Ovis aries: one gene and its partners. The main gene of each other region encodes a partner of the protein of the gene in region 2 in a complex. Links are inferred from orthologs where the notes say so. Each region holds a gene or a part of one and is shown on either strand. Other genes may lie near its edges. The genes, in order: TAF4, TAF3 and TAF10.

Evidence for each region.
Region 1: TAF3 (region 2) and TAF4 share a complex: the UniProt entries of both Homo sapiens proteins name them as parts of the TFIID basal transcription factor complex. The link is inferred for Ovis aries from reciprocal best matches to the Homo sapiens genes TAF3 and TAF4.
Region 3: TAF3 (region 2) and TAF10 share a complex: the UniProt entries of both Homo sapiens proteins name them as parts of the TFIID basal transcription factor complex. The link is inferred for Ovis aries from reciprocal best matches to the Homo sapiens genes TAF3 and TAF10.

Annotation. Positions count from the first base shown.
Region 1 is NC_056066.1:54,789,393-54,795,777, reverse strand, and holds the start of TAF4 (transcription initiation factor TFIID subunit 4), read right to left. Parts: upstream 4,326-6,385; 5' UTR 4,266-4,325; coding exon 2,990-4,265; intron 1-2,989. UniProt on the Homo sapiens protein: The TFIID basal transcription factor complex plays a major role in the initiation of RNA polymerase II (Pol II)-dependent transcription.
Region 2 is NC_056066.1:12,340,458-12,345,917, forward strand, and holds part of TAF3 (transcription initiation factor TFIID subunit 3), read left to right. Parts: intron 1-318; coding exon 319-574; intron 575-3,178; exon of another isoform or gene 3,179-3,250; intron 3,251-3,532; coding exon 3,533-3,639; intron 3,640-4,577; coding exon 4,578-4,692; 3' UTR 4,693-5,460. UniProt on the Homo sapiens protein: The TFIID basal transcription factor complex plays a major role in the initiation of RNA polymerase II (Pol II)-dependent transcription.
Region 3 is NC_056068.1:46,194,376-46,200,032, reverse strand, and holds TAF10 (transcription initiation factor TFIID subunit 10), read right to left. Parts: upstream 3,077-5,657; 5' UTR 3,052-3,076; coding exon 2,820-3,051; intron 2,682-2,819; coding exon 2,527-2,681; intron 2,291-2,526; coding exon 2,226-2,290; intron 2,138-2,225; coding exon 2,023-2,137; intron 1,840-2,022; coding exon 1,750-1,839; 3' UTR 1,669-1,749; downstream 1-1,668. Other genes in the region: ILK (integrin-linked protein kinase), read left to right, coding at 1-4, 123-232, 342-469, 565-686, 782-881, 989-1,119, 1,289-1,438. UniProt on the Homo sapiens protein: The TFIID basal transcription factor complex plays a major role in the initiation of RNA polymerase II (Pol II)-dependent transcription.

The DNA of each region.
Region 1 (6,385 bases), about 42 Mb from region 2:
AAAGATCTCTTAAAACCATTTGCGCACATGCTAATTTTGGTGTCATATCACTTTTCTCTCCTTTCAACTACAATCATAATATTACTTTTATGTTATGACTACTCTAAGCTGTATAGAACTAACTAGTGCTCTTCACTGTTCTTGGGACCACCGCCTTTGCTACAACAATCTCTCTGAAGACTCACGTGTTCTCAATATTCCCCACAGCAGATTAAAACTGAGACTCTGGTTCCTTCAAACAAGTAAATTAATCACAATAACATCAACGTCTCTTTACAAAACCATCCTGACAAAGACATCAAAACTGAATCTACTGAAACCAAATTCAACAGGAGCTCACAGTGGGCTGGGAGGATGAAATACGAAAGGCCTGGCGGCCCTCAGGGACTCTGTGAAGCCTCTGTCCCTCTGTTTCCATCACCACCACCCACCGACAGTGGGGCAGGCCTCTCTCACCGGTACTCAATTGCCAACAGTCTGTTATTTCACTTGACACCTATGTGTAGCTTTGAAAACCCTGCCCACCCCTAACCCCTGAGTACTAACCAGAGTGCATTATCAGCCAGGCGATAGCTATTTTCACAAGTTAATTCCACCTCTGCTTTATACATTTTTATAATGAGAGCTTTCAATGAACAGGAGACCTCAAGTAGAACTTAGTGTCTTCCAATCGATCAATTACATGAGGTAACTAGAATATTCATAATCTGTCACTTTGATTTATAAAATTAATTTGTACTATTTAAAAGAAAGTACTTTGTTGTGGGGAACTGGTAGTAGTTTTAACTATGCTTTTTCTGCTCCTGCTTTTATTAAAATGATGGAACAGAATTAATCAGAGCTCCAAATGAGCGGATCGACTGTGGGGGTAGGGGAAGCATGAAGAGATGGATGTGAGTTTATTTTCTAGAAAGCATTTGGCCCCTTTAAAGCACAGCTCTCCGCATTTGTCACCCAAATGTCAACATGAGCTGTTCTCTACTCATACACACACACACGCACGCGCACGCACACACACACACACACACACGGGACTACCGCAAAGACTCATGAGAACTCATGCAAAGAGTCAGCACTTTTACAGTTTTCTTCAAGGAGTCGCCTACTTGTCACATGCAGACATCCTTAACACCGCCGGTAGAACAGGAGATGAAAGTGCGTCCAGGGTCAATCATGACAAAGCTGACAGAGGCGCCCTTTCAGAACCACAGCTTCCTCCCCCAGAAGGCGGCAGGCAGTGAAGGCTGCACCTATGCAGAGGCGAGGGGATCCAGTCAGCCCCAAACCGCCACACCTACAGGCATCACACGAGTGCCCCGGGGGGCCTCCTCCGCGGGCACAGCGCCAGCCTCACCAGCTCCACTGACTCACAAACTTCACTGACAGTTTTCAGAACAAAAGCGTCATGCAGGGAACTGTCCTGGCCAGGAGTGGGGCAGGGGCTGAGAACCACTGAGGGGATACTTTAATGAGTAACTAAAAAGTATTTTGACGTTTTACATAACCTGTTACCACCATGACTTCTCTTTTTTAAGCGTCACTAGAGATCAAACATATTTTCCACTAAAAGGTCAAAATACACATAATGTGCAAAACAGAACCTTTAATGAAAACCTCCTACAAACTCAAAAACAAAGCATGTTGTAAGAGGCACCCTGCACCTCTCAGGTACCTACTTCACATCACCTCCTCCTGGGATCAGGGCAGCCCTCACGACCACCCCCAAACAGCACTCTTGGCTGGAACCTTGCCTCCTCCCTTCTGTGGTGTGAAATCAGATCCCTGCCAGGTGCCGCCACCGCTCCAAACCTCACGGCACTGTGACAACAAGACCTTCCTTCTAAGACGCTGAAATCCTCTCAAGGTGACCAACGGCTGCTTCGGAAAGCACGAGGGGACGCACACACAGGCGGTGCTGCTTCCACTGCTCCTGCCACCAGCACACGTTACTACACGGCAGGGGAGGAGCGCTCTGCGTCCACGCAGGCCAGGCCGGGGATGGAAGCAGAGACTGGGAGCCTCCAGCGCTGGGGTTTCTCTCTGCCCAGCAAGCCCGAAAGAAAGCAGCGGGACACACTTAATGCCACGGGGACCTAGAAAGCCTTAAAAAGCTGCCCAGAGAACAGAAGATGGAGTGTAGGTTTGGAGACACTGCCTGTCCTCCTACACCATCTGTACCTCCAAAAGACTCACTGAACGGGGAGCCCCAGCCCACCGCTGACTGCATTGGTAACAATCAAGGTAACCGGGCGTCCTCCAAGTGAGGACTCCGTGCAGAACCACACGGCCACTACGGGAAGTGCTGAAAAACGACTGCAGGAGCCGCGTGAGGCAAGGGCTGTGACCAGGAAGGGTGTGTGCCCCGGGATCCCTACAAGCTCACCTGGGAACTCTGCCATCCTGGTGTCAGCAGGGGAGCAAAAGCTTTCCACGCAGGCTTGCCCAGCCTCACGGAGGGGGCGTCACTCCCCTGACCTCACCGGGAAAGGGGGTCCCTAGACCACCAGAAGGGGACACCAATCACAGACCAGCCCAGTAACAGAGCAGAAGAGTTCAGTGAGGACACAAACCATATGCCTGATCCCAGAAACCAGGGAGAGAACAGCCAAACGTGGGGAAGTCACCGGCCCAGACTGAATAACCCAGCAAGTTGTCCCGAGAGCGCCAGCTGCTACTGCTGTCCACTGTGGGGGCACCGGGCAGGGACACACAAGGCCAGGAGGAGAGAAGAGGGCCCACTCGGCGGAAGTCCCGACAGAGAAAGTTCCCCAACGCAAAGTGGAGAGTAGAAGCCAAGCCCCGCACAGCTAAGAGGCCCCAGCAGCCACATCACGCAACACTAGAGCACATACAGGCCCGGGACCGGCCCGGACCGGGGCAGAGACGCACCGGCAGGGCTTCATGACCTCCGCGTCCTGCCAGCCAGACAACTTCCTGGACTCCCGGCTGGGGAGCACACACACAGCCGCTCGGCGGCGCGGCCACTCACCTGGGGGCAGCTGGAAGTTCTGGATGTTGGTGGGGTTCTGCGGCGGCTGCGGCAGGCGTGGGGCGAGGACCGTGGGCGTCAGCGTGGCCCGGATCCCGCCGGTGGTGGCCGAGGGCGTCCTGGGCAGGCTCTGGGTCACCGCGCTGGCCGAGCCCTTGGGCAGCCCGGTGGGGGTGCCCGGGGCCGGCGGCGGGAGGCCGGCGGCGGCGGCGGCGGGCAGTGCCCCTTGCATAGTTGGCCCGAGGATCATGCCGGACCCCGCGCCGGCCGGGCAGCTGGTCGCCAGGGTCTGCGGCGGCGGGGGCGCCGGCTGCAGCGCGGTCTTGGGCGAGTCGGCCTTGGCCACCTGCGCGGGCGCGGCGGCGGGCCCGGGCTGACTGTTGGCGGCGGGCGCCGGGGCGGGCGCGGGCGCGGGGGCCGGGGCGGGCGTGGGGGCGGGCGCGGGCGCAGCGCTGCCCCCGTTCTGCGCGGCCGCCGGGGGTCCGGCGGGGGGCCCGGGCGGCCGGGCCAGGCTGGCGGCCGCGGGCGGCGGCGGCGGCGGGGCGGCGGCGGCGGGCGCGGGGGGCGCAGGGGGCGCGGCGGGCGCAGGGGCCGCGGGGGGCGAGGGGACGCGGGGCGCGGGCGCGGCGGGGGCGCCGAGGAAGGGCGGCGTCTGGATGACAGTGGCGGCGGCGGGCTTGGGCGGCGGCGGCGCGGGCGCGGGCCCGTTGTGGAGCAGGCTGACAGCAGGTGCGGCGGCGGCGCGGAGCGAGTTCCCCAGCGCGGCGCTCCCATTCAAAGTTTGCGCGGCGCCGGGGCCGCCGGGCGGGCCGTTGCGGGCGGCAGGCTTGGCGGCGGGCTCGGGAGCGGCCGCTGCCCCCGGCGGGCAGGCCCCGGCCGCGGCGCCCGCTCCGGCTCCGGCCCCGGCGCCCGCGCCGGCCTCGAGCGCGCTCAGCTTCGCGGCGGGCCCTGCGGAGACAAGCGGGGCGGCGCGGTGAGGACGCGGGCCCGGCCGGCGGCCGCCCGCGCTCAGGCCGCGCCGCGCTCTACCTGCGGGGGGCGGCTCCGGCGCCGCTGCGGGCGCGCCCTCGGCCGGCACGGCTCCGGCTCCGACATGGTTCCCGAGCGCGCCGGCGGCCGCGGCCCGCGCCTCGGGCGCGCGGGGCGCGAGGTGGTGGTGGTGGGCCGCGCTGGCCGCCAGCTGCGACTCGAGCGAGCCCACCAGGTCGCTCACCACTTTCTCGTCCACCTCGCTGTTGAAGAAGACCTCGTCCAGCAGATCCGAGCCCGCCGCCATCTTTCCTCCTCGGCCCGCCGCCGCCGCCGCTCGGCCGGCGCTGGGCGGGGAGGAGGCTCCGCGCGGGCGGGCGGGCGGGCGGGCGGGCGGCCGCGGGGGCGGGCGGGGGGCGGCGCGCGCCGGGCGGGGCGGGGGCGGCGGCCGGGCGGGGGGCGCGGGCGGCCGGGCGGGGGGGAGGGCGGTGGCAACGCGGTGCGCAGGCGCGGCGGCGTGCCCGCCCCCGCCCGCCGCCCGGCGCCTCACCATTGGCCGCGGCGCCCCCCCGCCCGGCTGCCCGGCGTCCCGTGATTGGCCGTACCGTGCACTTAAAAGGCGCGGCCAATGGCTGCGAGCGGCAGAAGCCGAGGCGCGGGCGGGCGGCCGGGGGTTTGCGGGCTAGTGGGCTGGGGGCCCGGGAGTCCTTGGTCTGGCGGGGATGGTGGGGTGCAGGTTGCCGGACGGGCCAGAGGCTGACGACCCGGAGGACAAGACGGGCGGGGACCGCGGCTGGGGCCTGGTGGGGGCGGCAGCAATGACTGGCTCTTTGTCTCCGCTTGCTCCAAAATGGCTGCGGCCGGAGCTGATGGGATCGCCGGGCGGGCGGGCGGGCGGGCGAGGGAGCGGGGACGCCTATATCGGAGCTAAGGCCGCCGCAGCCCGCGGGAACCCGGCACCCCTTGAGGGCACTGCCTGGGGGCTGGGTCAGCGAGGTAGCCTGGGCGTCGTCGCCATTGCTCCCGGGCGGGCGCAGGCCCCGAAGCTCGGGGCACCGGGCGGGGCGAGCGCGGGCCTGCCCCCCGGACCGGCGCCTCGGTCCGCCCGAGACCGGGCGTCTTGCGCTGTGATGTCCGCAGCTTGGGCGGCGGGGGCGGGGCAGGGGTCGGCGCCCGAGGCCACGCCAGGGTGACTCATCTCCTCCGGCTGCGCGGCCCCTGGCCGCGAGTGTCTGTAAATCACTGGGTGAGACGGTGGTGCCGGCCGGGACCAGCAGCTCGCGTAGGGAAAGGGAGCGTCCAGCTTGGAGGTTTTCCTGGGGTCCTTCTCTCCCGTTCTGTCCTTTTGACGAAGTAAGTTATTTAAAATAACCTTACGAGCACCTTCTCTGTAGGAAGAATTCACCTGAAATTCTCGCCTGCGTTTTTTGTTTTTTTCACCGAAAGATGGTATTCTAGTACATGTCTAGTGGTTTCCTCTCTCTTTTGGGGTGGGGAGGGAGGAGGGTAGACCCAGAGAAGCGCCTCCGGCAGAACAGGCCACACCGCAGTCACACGGCCCGCAGCACAATGCGGGAAGCTGTTGACACACAAATGATCTTTTCTACCCGCCTAACAAAAGAGCCGGCGGCCCCCGCGAGCCCAGCTCCCGGGGCGGGTTCAGACAATGAGCGCGGGGGTTGGAGCCTGCGAAGGGGCCTCCCCGGGCGACCGCGTCGGGGAACCCCTGCAAAGAGAGAATAGGAATTTTGCACCTGAAGCTGACTACTCAAAACACAGGAAAGGAAAAGGGTGGAACAAACCTGGGCTGGGGGTACCTTGAACTCGGGGTGCCTGGGTCCCATCCCCACCGGGCTTTGAGCCCAGCGGGGGCCGACGATCTGGTTTGCGAGCAAGAGCAGAAATGTGGGAATATGTGTAAAATCTGATCTTTAATGTTGACAACTCATCAGAAAATGTTAAGTGAGCCAAACAAAAGCAGGCCCCGGGTGCCGTAGTGGGAAACAGAGGGGTACACCGTGATCTGCAGTCAGAACACCCAGATCGGAGTCGGGACAAAAGTGACAGCCGTGCTACGAGGCAAACCACTGACTGACGCGAGACGGTCAGGCCCGGGGTGGGGGGGAATGGGGGGTCCCCTCTCGCCCGCCCCTGTAGTTACTGGGATCTAAAGTGAAAGGAGCAGGTGGTACCGTCTCGGGCCCCTCCTGCTTTCCCATAGAGGTCCGCCCGCCAGGACCCCTCCAACCCCGGGGCCCCTCCCCCGCCCAGGCCTCCGCGCCGCAGCGGTGCTGACATCACCCCCAGCGTCCTCCGGGGCGCCCTCCGGTCCGGCAGGAAGTGGGAGGTGAAGCGTCGGTGCACCGTCTTCCCTCCCCACCCCGCTCCGCCGCGACTCCGCTTCCAGACGGGGTCTCTGCGCCCCAG
Region 2 (5,460 bases):
CCTGAGTCTAGTTCTTCCCCGGCATGAGTTGTATGAAGAAGGCAGTGTTGATGCAGAAACCGAGCAGCGGGCAGCTCTGACCATGGAAAGAAGCTGGAGCCCCTGCCTGTTTCCCGCTGCCCAGCCTGTCTTCCCTGCCCTGATTGTGGAGAAGTAGCTTGGGCAAGAGCCTTGCAGCCTGCGCTCTGTCTTTCTCTGCACTCTCCGAGAAGCCTTTCGCTACTAGAAGAACCGAGTGATCGTGCCATTGTGTTTGTAGCTACCTGGCTTGACTCAACTGTGTGTTTTGATTTTTTCTTTTCTCTCTTTTGTTTACAGTGTCATCAGCAAAGTGGTCCCAGCCCCCGAGGCTAAGCCGGCGCCTTCTCTGAACAGACCCAAGACGCCGCCACCTGCCCCAGCCCCTGCCCCGGCCCCCATGCACGTCACCCCTGCCCCGGTGCCTTTGCCCCTCCTGGCCCCGGCCAGCACGCCCCTCGCCGGGATGCCCGACCCAGCGCCTGCTGCTTCGGGAGCCGCCAGCTCCAAAGCCCCCGTCCGTAGTGTGGTCACAGAGACAGTCAGCACTTACGTGGTGAGCTGCTTTCTGTTTTGGGGAGTATTTAAGAGAAAGTCACTTAAGAGCTCACTCTTTGCTCATGAAAATGTTTCCAATTAAAACAGTGTCAGATGTACCATCATTGAATTTCAGAAGCAATTGTTCATGACTGGAAAGGGATGTTCATTGCATTTTCAAGCCTTTGGCTGAAAGTATTGTGTTAGGATGTTTGCATAGTCTCCATAAATAATGTCAGAGCATTGCTTTTGTTATTCGTCATTGTTTTGGAATATAACTATATATACACACACACACACACACATAAACATATATACAGCACAATGTGTGTATAAATATAGAGGTGAATAGTGACAGACAGACTCCTCACTGACTTTCTTGATTAAGCAGTGATTCACTTCAGAGAATAATTAGCATGGCGTGCACACATCTCATGGGCCAGCCGCTCTTTCTGAGCAGGAGCACTGATTATAGTATCTCACTGGCTGAGGCCCAGAACATATCAGGGCCGGCAGAATGAACGGAAATGAACCTGTCAACCACAGAACTTGCTGAGTCCCAGCCTGTCTTCAGGTGGAAAAACTCACCTTGACAGATGCATTCACACGGTTGTCATGAGACCGTTTTCTCATGTTTCCTCCTACTCGGTACTATCAGGTCTAGCTCAAGCCCTGCATTCAGTTGAGTAATAAATCAGCTCTTTGGGCTACGTGGTGTTTCACACAAGCACATGACAAAAAGATTTCAGGCACGTGGCGGTCCTCAGGGAGCCGACACTGTGAGACCACCAAGCATGTAGCCTGAGGTGTGTCCGCCTGGTGGTGGCACGAATCTTTCAGAATAGATGTGCCTGGGAGGCGACAAGCTCGGACTCCTGCCGTTGTCATTAAAAATCGTGCAAGTATTACGTTTCTATACGTAAATACGGGCATTTTGAAAGGAAATTTCAATGAATCATTAAGTGTTTGAGGCACTATCATGATACAGAGGATAAGAAGAAAGTGTCAGAAGTCTTCAGAGAGGATATAAAGACATGAAATATTAATGAGAAAATATTAAATTGGCAATTCAAGACAACAATGGAAGACATGGTACAGACATCTGTGGTCATTAAATCAGTGCATTCAAGGACCAGTTGCCACAGGTGTTTAATTGAGGCCACGTCACCCCAAGATGGGTAAATCGGGGAGGACTTTATGCTCGATCTCCTCGACCTCCATTTCTTTAGCTGTAACCAGGGATTGTTACGCTAGGTGATCCCTGTGGTGTGTTCTAGCTCTAAAATCTTGATTCTCCAGTGGATTTTTGAGTCAACTCCCTGGAGATAGATCAGACTTGCATAAACAGCGTAGACGAAAAGCCTCTGCCCCCTCAGAGACACTTTGTAGGCAGAGGACAAACTGTGATTCGAAGGAAGGACACAGGCCGATTTCGTTGCTGCCCAATCTATTATGGCACTGGAACTGGCACTGACATTCCTTCAGCTCCAGTCTCCCCGTTTCTGACCTACCCAAGCATTGTTTTAGGAGGATGAAACCAAGTCAGGTGTTTTCGAAGAGCCTAGTAAACCGAGAGGGGCTGGGCGCTGTAGCAGATTTCTCAGGTCGCAGGGTCACGGCCTCCTAATTTCAAGAATCAGCAGCAGGACAGGGCATGCATGGCAGCTTCAGGGCACAGGGTACTGGGCTGGCCTTCACCCCAGACAGCTGGCACAGGCCGACTGGTGGTCTCTCTGCTTGAAACTGGAGACTAGGCCCGGGTCAGGGATGTGGCTGCCTACAGAGTTGTTCAGGAAACCTTTACAGCCTTGTCTGCTCTTGCAGAGACTTCCCAGAATGGCAGACCTTAAAATAGTTAGAATTCCGTGAGTTAGAATGAACCGTCTCTGCCCCCCATACACCCATCACACAAACACAAAAAACTGTTTTTCTTCTGCACATCCAGTCAGTGTTGTATCTGAACGTACCAGGAGAGACTACAGCTTTCAAAATCAACTGGATGAAATTATATGCTGTGTGATCAGCAAAACTTTAAAAAATTAACTCTTAGTTATTGCTGGCTTTGAAAGCCTGTCATGGAATTGTCTCTTCCAGATTGGTCTTGTTCATGTGGAATTTGAGGAGGTGGTTCAGTTGGGAATGCTTCTTATTTGGAACTGCTAAGTCAAGTCCAGAGCACAGCGTGTTTGTTGCAAAATAACATGAAAACGTGTGGCTCTTTGGCCTCCTGCGTCCCTTATTTCATTTGCCCTTTAGTTGATTGTACTTTGCTGAAAATGTCATAAAGGGAATGGAAAGTTACTTAGTAACAACTCTTTTATATCCTTGATCTTATCAGCCAGTTCAGGAGGAGGGTTTGGCTAATAAGTAATAAGGCGATATATGCACATAGGTCGCATTTATTAATTCCAGACCTGTGAATGCAATGGAGGGAACAACACAGAGTTGAGCTAGGTAGCTTTCAGAAGTATCAGGCATTAGTAGTCATTCAGAACCTGTGTTTCAGTATTTTTTTAGATAAAGGTGACTAGGTCACATGGCTCACAGAAATGATTATCAAATGTTTTGTTTTTATGACTTTCAAAAGACAGTTTAAAATAGCCATTAGAAATGTCTTGGAAGTTCCCTGATGGCCTAGTGATTAGGACTCGGCACTTCCATTGCCAGGGCCCAGGTTCAATCCCTGGTCAGGGAACTAAGATTTTGCAAGCCATGCAACGTGGCAAAAAAAAAAAAAGTAGAAGAAAGGTCTTATCATTGAACTGTTAGTAGCATTTTTTTTCCCATATGGTGCCAGGATAGTGAGGACCATGATCACAGCTCTAATGAATTGTTAGCTCCTAGGTTTTTCTGTCTGCTCCTTTAGTCTGTCAGTCTGTTAGCTCCACAGGGTGTAGGCAATCCTTATAATGCCCTTTTGGGGATTTCTTTTTTCTCAATGCCTCTCTGGTTTCCCCCACCCCCACCCCCACCCCAGATCCGAGACGAGTGGGGAAACCAGATCTGGATCTGTCCCGGCTGCAACAAGCCCGACGATGGGAGCCCCATGATCGGCTGTGACGACTGTGACGACTGGTACCACTGGTGAGTCCCCTGCGGGACGGGGGGAGGGAGGAGAGGCTCAGCACACGCGTGGCCCCGGCCCGTGCAGGCTCTTCTCCCAGGGCAGCTGTCTCCCGGGAAGAGCGTCTGGAGCAGAATCCCTGTGCCAAGAGAATGGCGTTCGTATTGTTTGCAAAAATTAGTCTTTAGACTGTGGCTCTTCAGCCTAAATTCAGTGTGTCTCTTAGCACACGTATTCTTTAGAAAGGGAAAAGGAGAGTCAAGGGGTTGGTTCCCTTCCCTTTCTTGTCAGTCATTTTCTGTAGCAGCTGCAGAAACACTGAGGGACCCCGTAAACACTGCCATAAAGTGCAGGAGTACAGGGGCAGCTTGAGTGGCTTCCCCGGCTCCTCAGCGCCCTCCCCAAACTGAAGGCGCAGCATCAGGACGCATGCATACCGCCTCGCTGTGTTATCTTGAAAATATCAGATATGAAAAGATAGGCATCCACTTAGTCACATGCTATACAATGTCTCTGAGATAAAAACAAAGCCGTGGCTCAGAAGAATTAGACTGTTTCTGGCTGAAAGGATGAATGAGCTAATTAATGTCTCCAGCAGGGCCTGGGGAAGGGGCTCGTGTAAGGTGATCTCCCACACGCCCAGCAGGAGTGCAGCAGCGTCTGTCTGCCAGAGCTGGTGACTTGGGTGTCCGGTAAATGCACCTTGAAAGTGAAAGTCACTCAGTTGTGTCCGACTCTTTGTGACCCCATGGACTACACTGTCCGTGGAATTCTCCAGGCCAGAATACTGGAGCGGGTAGCCTTTCCCTCTTCCAGGGGATCTTCCCAACCCAGGGATCGAAGCCATAAACCTAACAGGTTATTGAATGATGTGAAATTCCTGAAAAACGTAGGATGAGAAGATGTGTGTCGCTGAAGCCTGTTTGTCTGAAGCGCCTTTTGCTTGGTTCCCGTGTAGGCCCTGCGTGGGGATCATGGCCGCGCCCCCGGAAGAGATGCAGTGGTTCTGCCCCAAGTGCTCCAACAGGAAGAAGGATAAAAAGCACAAGAAGCGGAAGCACCGGGCGCACTGATGCCTGGAGCGGGGGTGCCCACGCCCACCGCATGGCCCCGGACCCTGCGCCCGGCCAGACTGAGGACAGGACACGTGCCCCCCACCCCCGGGGGCTCTGCGAGGGCCCCCGGCCGAGGGCCACGTGGTCGCCCCCGGAGAAAGACTCTTATGCACGGGGCGGGGGGGAGGCCTCGCCTCCGTTTCCTATTACCAGTGACAAGTATTATTAATAAAGACTATAATCTTTCCTTTCGATTTTCCTCAATTCTCTCCAGGGCCTTTTCCGTAAGGTGTTAGCTGAGAAGATGGCGTGTGGCCCGCCCTGACCGTGCCCGAGGGTGACGTGGGTCGGCTGTATGTGTCTCCAGCCTCCTCCCCTCTGTAGTCAGATAATCGTAATCACATGAAAGAAAACTCCAGGGGGAGTGTCAGTAAATATTTTTGTGATGAAAAATATATGAAGCTTCCCCCACCCCACCCCTCGTTTTTAGTACTAACATGTAAAATGTTCAGGCTTTTTGTGAAATACCTTATATTTTTTAAGAAAAAGGTTTCTATCATGTCCTGTTGGCTCTTTTACAATTTGATTTTGTTGACTCTCTCACCTGTCCTCTCTCTCTGTCGTCCCCCAGCTTTGCCCTTTCCTCCAAACTGCTGGTGGTCTTCTCATGGCTTACCCATCTCATCAGCTTGTATGAAAACTCTGCACACCAGGAGATCTCCCCTAATGTAAATAATAAATATTTATGAAGTAGTTATTTTTAAAAAAATTTTTATCGTGTTTAAT
Region 3 (5,657 bases), on a different chromosome or scaffold from region 2:
AGAGGTAACTCCCCACCCCACCCTATTACCTGTTGTGCACCTGTTTTAAGTCTCTCCTCCAGTTAGTGGGCAAGAAAACAGTGGCCTTAGTTAAAGCCTTCTAACCCTTATCTGTCCCTCAGCTATGGAAGGGCCGCTGGCAGGGCAATGACATTGTCGTGAAGATGCTAAAGGTTCGAGACTGGAGTACAAGGAAGAGCAGGGACTTCAATGAGGAGTGTCCCCGGCTCAGGTGGGGCAAGGCCTAAACTGGAAGCCTTGATTTCAAGGAGCCCTGTCAGCACCCAGAGGGAGATCTTTTATGCTGGATCTCAGCCAGGGGCATTCTCTCCCTCTTCCAGGATTTTCTCACATCCCAATGTGCTCCCAGTGCTTGGTGCCTGTCAGTCTCCACCTGCTCCTCACCCGACCCTCATCACACACTGGATGCCATACGGATCCCTGTACAATGTGCTACATGAAGGCACCAGTGAGTAGGGAGTGCCAAATCTCACTGCAGCAGGGTGTGGGGAAGGAAAGTCTGTGAGCCTCTCCAAATGATTTAACTCTTGCCTTCTCACTTAGATTTCGTTGTGGACCAGAGCCAGGCTGTGAAGTTTGCATTGGACATGGCAAGGGGCATGGCCTTCCTACACACACTAGAGCCCCTCATCCCACGACATGCACTCAACAGCCGTAGTGTAATGGTGAGATCACAACTTCACTCCCGGCCCAAGCCCCAGAGGTCCTTTCCCTAGAATAGGACTTACCTCCTTCCACACAACTATCTTCTCTTCCTCAGATTGATGAGGACATGACTGCTCGAATCAGTATGGCCGACGTCAAGTTCTCCTTCCAGTGCCCCGGGCGCATGTATGCACCTGCCTGGGTGGCTCCTGAAGGTGAGTGATGGCATTATGATGTGAGGCAGAGAAGGGGCAGCTCAGTAGTAATGGAAGGGAACACAGACAGGACAAGCAGCTGGAACAGATAAGTCCTATCCCTCTAGCTCTGCAAAAGAAGCCTGAAGACACAAACAGACGCTCAGCAGATATGTGGAGTTTTGCAGTGCTTCTGTGGGAACTGGTGACACGGGAGGTACCCTTTGCTGACCTCTCCAACATGGAAATTGGAATGAAGGTGAGAGCATAACTGGATATACTTGTGGTGGTAGTGACAATAATTGTAGTGGGGCTGGGCTCCTGCCACATTGATTCAAATACACAGAATCCTGTCCTGAGGGCTAGACGTCTCTCCCGACATGAGACTCAAGTTCTGAGACTCACCTTGTTTTTCCTTGTGTTTGCAGGTGGCATTGGAAGGCCTTCGGCCTACCATCCCACCAGGCATTTCCCCCCACGTTTGTAAACTCATGAAGATCTGCATGAATGAAGACCCTGCTAAGCGGCCCAAGTTTGACATGATCGTGCCTATCCTGGAGAAGATGCAGGACAAGTAGAGCTGGAAAGTCCTTATCTGAACTCCAGAGGTGTCAGGACACGGTTAGGGGAGTGCACCTCCCCAAAGCAGTAGGCCTCTGGTTGCCTCCCCTGCCACTAGTCATGGTACTACCCCAGCCATGGGGCCCATCCCCTGCCCCCATCCCTACCACTGTGGCCCCAAAAGGGAATGGGCTCAAAGCTTTGTCACTTGCCACACGGTGTCTCCCAGCATGGGAGGGATCAGCCCTGCCTGTCACAATAAAGTTTATTATGAAAACAGGCTGGTGTGGGGACAAGAGAACAGACAAGTACATTTAGACTGGGTGGCTCAGGTGAAGTAGTGCGGCTTCTTCACATTGATGCCATACTCGCTGAGGGCAGGGGTCAAGTCCTCCATGGTTAGAGTGTACTTGCGGTCCTGAGGGAAGAGGGAAGAGCACCAGCTGAACACAGGAATTCCAGATTTCAATCCCAGGCAGGTGACCCTGAGTAGGTCTTTCACCTCCCCTAAGGCTTAATTTCCCTCAAAGGGGTTTCAGGATAATTTAAGCCTCTGCTGCTGTAGGAAGTAATTACTGAATCAATGAGCCTCCCCTCACACCTTGCTCTTGCTTCGGGAGCTGCCAGAGGCTGTGCCCTTCATTTTGCAGTGCTGTAGGGCATCGTTGGCAATATCTGAGATGAATTTCTGGGCAGCTAGGGAGATGAGCCGAATTCTGGAGAGAAAAAAATGGTATGAGAAGAGCATAGACAATAAACTCCACACAAACACCCAACACTCTAACCTGCCCAGAGTTTACTCACATGCGTGGGTCGGAGGCCTCAAAGCCAGCACGGTTCAGGTAGTAACCAGTCACTGCATCAGGGATCTGAGAAATCAATTAGACGACTGTAAGCGTTAGCCCTGTGTACAGCGGGGCTGAGAGTCGGGGTAAGGGAAATGGAGGGCAGGCCTGGCTATCAGGAAGCTCCCAGTTTGGGTGGGCAGAAGGGAAAAATCACAAAAGCTAGGAAGAGAAACACAAGAGGATGCTGCAAATCCAGATGGTGTGGCAGAAGTTGGCGTGACAGCGAGTCATTAGCCTTGTTCAGGCAGGAAGCCCACCGTAGGCGTGTAATCCTCCAGCTGCATCAGGAAGTCCACTAGAGGCGTGCTGGACACCACTGGCTTCACCTCTCCGTTGGCCGCGCTTGGCAGCACGTAAACCCCGTTAGACATGGCCCCCTCCGGGGGCGCCGCGCCGCCGGTCGTCACTGGAGCTGGAGGAAAACCAGCAAACTGAGACACGGAGGTGGGAGGCTCGAGGGTTCCGCTAGGTGTGTCTTACCCTCTGCCCTCACCCGCCGCTGGGCCCAGCCCAAAGCGCGGCCCTCGCCCTCACCCGTCCCGGCCCTCACCCGCCCCGCGCCGCTCGGCAGGCTCCCCGGCCCGCGCCGCCACGGCTCCAGTGCCCCCTGCCGCGGCTCCAGCCCCAGGCCCCCCTGACGTCCCCGCGGGGCTGGCCTTGTTCTCCGCGGCGGTGCCGGCGGGCAGCGCGGCGGGGGCCGAGACCGCGGGCGCCGGGCCCGGGGCCGAGGCGGCGGAGGCCGGCGCCGCCTCGGGGTCCGCGCCGGAGCCGCTGCAGCTCATCGGGCCGGTGGGAGAGGCGGCGAACAGAGCCGCTTCCGCTTCCGTTCACCTTACGCACACACCAGGGGTGACGTCACGCGCCCCACGACTCGTTCCTCCCACGCCACGTTCGCTCCTCCCTTAGGCCTCCTTCCTTTATTCCCCGCCCATCCAGCCGCTACCTGACAAAGGCGGGAGGGCGGAGACCAAGTGTTGCGGAACTGGGCTGGCGCGGACATTTCGCGTCCGGACCCGCGGTTCTCCAGTGTGGATCCGCTGGGATGGGAACCCCTCAATGTCGAGGATTCTCTTCTATGGGCTTGAGGCCCCCTCACCCAGCCTGACGTCTAAAATTCTTGCTTTGATGCTCATCGCCCCGACACCTCTCTACTGTTGGTCGCCTGCGTGTCTGCATCTTTTCTAAGTTCCTTTATCCAGCCTTTTAAGGGTTTGTAGTGGAGTTGAATAGCCTCTTTCCCCGCCAGCTGCCCAAAGTGAAGGTAACCGGACAGCTGACACAGTGCTGCTGCAGATGGGGAGAGAGGTACAGTCCACCGTCCGTATAGGTGGTGAAGGGTTGGTAGGATTGGTTCCGGGACTCCCCCGACTCCCGTCCCCAACCCATGTATACCAAAATCCGTGGATGCTCAAGTCCGTTATATGAAATGGCATAGTATTTGCACTGTATACTCTATATAATCTCTAGATTGCTTATAATATCCAATGCGATGTGAATAGTTTACTGGTGCATGGTAAATTCAAGTTTCGTCTTTTATAATTGGAATTAAAAAATATATATATCTTCAGTTCACGGTTGGGTGAATCTGTGGATGGAGAACCCGAGGATACAGAGGGATGGCTGTCTTTCAGTCTTAATAAACAATTTATGTAAAATCACGGCTAGTGAAAGAGTGGGGTTTTCAACACAGCAAAAATTTATTTTTGTCAGTCCTGAGCTAGGGTCTGCAAATACAGAGTTAAGTAGGAGAAGGTTCTACTCCTCCGGGCACCAGTGGTCTTGCAAAGGGAGGCATTAACAGTTAAACTTGCCATTTCACCAATATATGGGAGTTAAAATACTGGAGGTAGACACAGGGTGTGCAGTGCAAGGGAGGAAGGGAACTAATAGTTGCTGCCTACATCTGTGTGTTAGGCATTCCATTAAGTTTATTCCACTTAATGATTTCCTGAATATTAGAGGCAGGTATCAATATCCTCACTTAACAGATGAGGAAAAAGTCTCCAAGAGTTGAACTTACTTCCCCCAGGCTCTCTCTAGTCTATATCAGAACCAAGAATCTAGGACTTTTCTGTCATACCCACATCAACTAGCTTCAGGGAGCCAAAAGATTCACAAGAGGTGAGCTGAGTTTTGAAAGAATTCTGGACCTCAGCCAGGCACAGGAAGCCAGGGGTAATGTTAGGGCACAGAATATCTTGAGCAACAGTGAATGAAAGTGCATGGAGGGGAGTGTGGGGAGACCGGGAAGGGTAAACAATTTGTTACTTGGAAACAAATAGCAAGTAAAGAGATAGGTTTGTAAGTCATGATAAAAAGCTTGACCTATATCCAGTAATCTTTGAAGGCTCTTAATTAAGTAGATGACCTCATGAGATTTGCTCTGATAGTTGGTTTTGGGGCTTCCCTTGTGGCTCAGTGGTAAAGAACATGTCTGCCAATGCAAGATACCCATGTTCCATCCCTGGGTCAGGAAGAACCCTGGAGAAGGAAGTGGCAATCCACTCTGTATTCTTGCCTGGGAAGTCCCATGGACAGAGGAGCCTGGTGGGTTATAGTCCATGGGGTTGCAAAAGAGTCAGACACAACTTAGTGAATAAAGAACTGGTAGATGGTTTAGGGAAAGGCAGGATGTAAGGGCACTTCTTGCAAGGGCCTCAATTCAGAGGAGCGGGAATATGGCTCACAGCTCATGTAGTAGCAGTGGAGCTGGAGAGAAGTAGATGAATTCAAGATACACTTTGGAAATATAATTGGAAGAACTTTTGGGTTGATAAAGATGTATTTAAGAGATAGAGTCAGTAGGACTTGTTGACAAGGAGATGATGGGAGGAGGTGAAGGAAATGGGAAACTTGGATGATACTTTAGGTTTCTGGCTCAGTTGGAAGTGTCAAGCATAGTGTCATTTATAAATAAGAAAAGAGAACAGTTTGGGATTGGGAAGAACGGAGATGAACTATTGAGAATTACACATCTTGCTTTTGAGGTATCAATCCCTGTAGGATGGAAAGTCCGATTTAGTGAGATGGTGATGGCTGTGGATGCCAGTCATTGATTTGTTTCAGTGGACAATGAGTCAAGTGAGAAGAGCAAAAGACAAAGGATAGAGCAAGGATACTACATGGATTAGGTATGATTAGCATTTACACAGTTGTACCATTGCAAATCCTGTATGCAGCTCAGACAAAAATAGAATTGTATCGAGAGGACAAAAGAATGGGTGGTGCGGATTTTGAGTGATTGGGACAAGGAAGAAGAATGATCACAAGCTAATAGGAAGTCAGTAATGGCTATAATTGGGCAGGGGGAAATCAATAAACAGCAACATAAGCATGTTATTTAGAGATAAACTAGTGGTGGAAAACATGCCTGCCAATGCAGGAGATT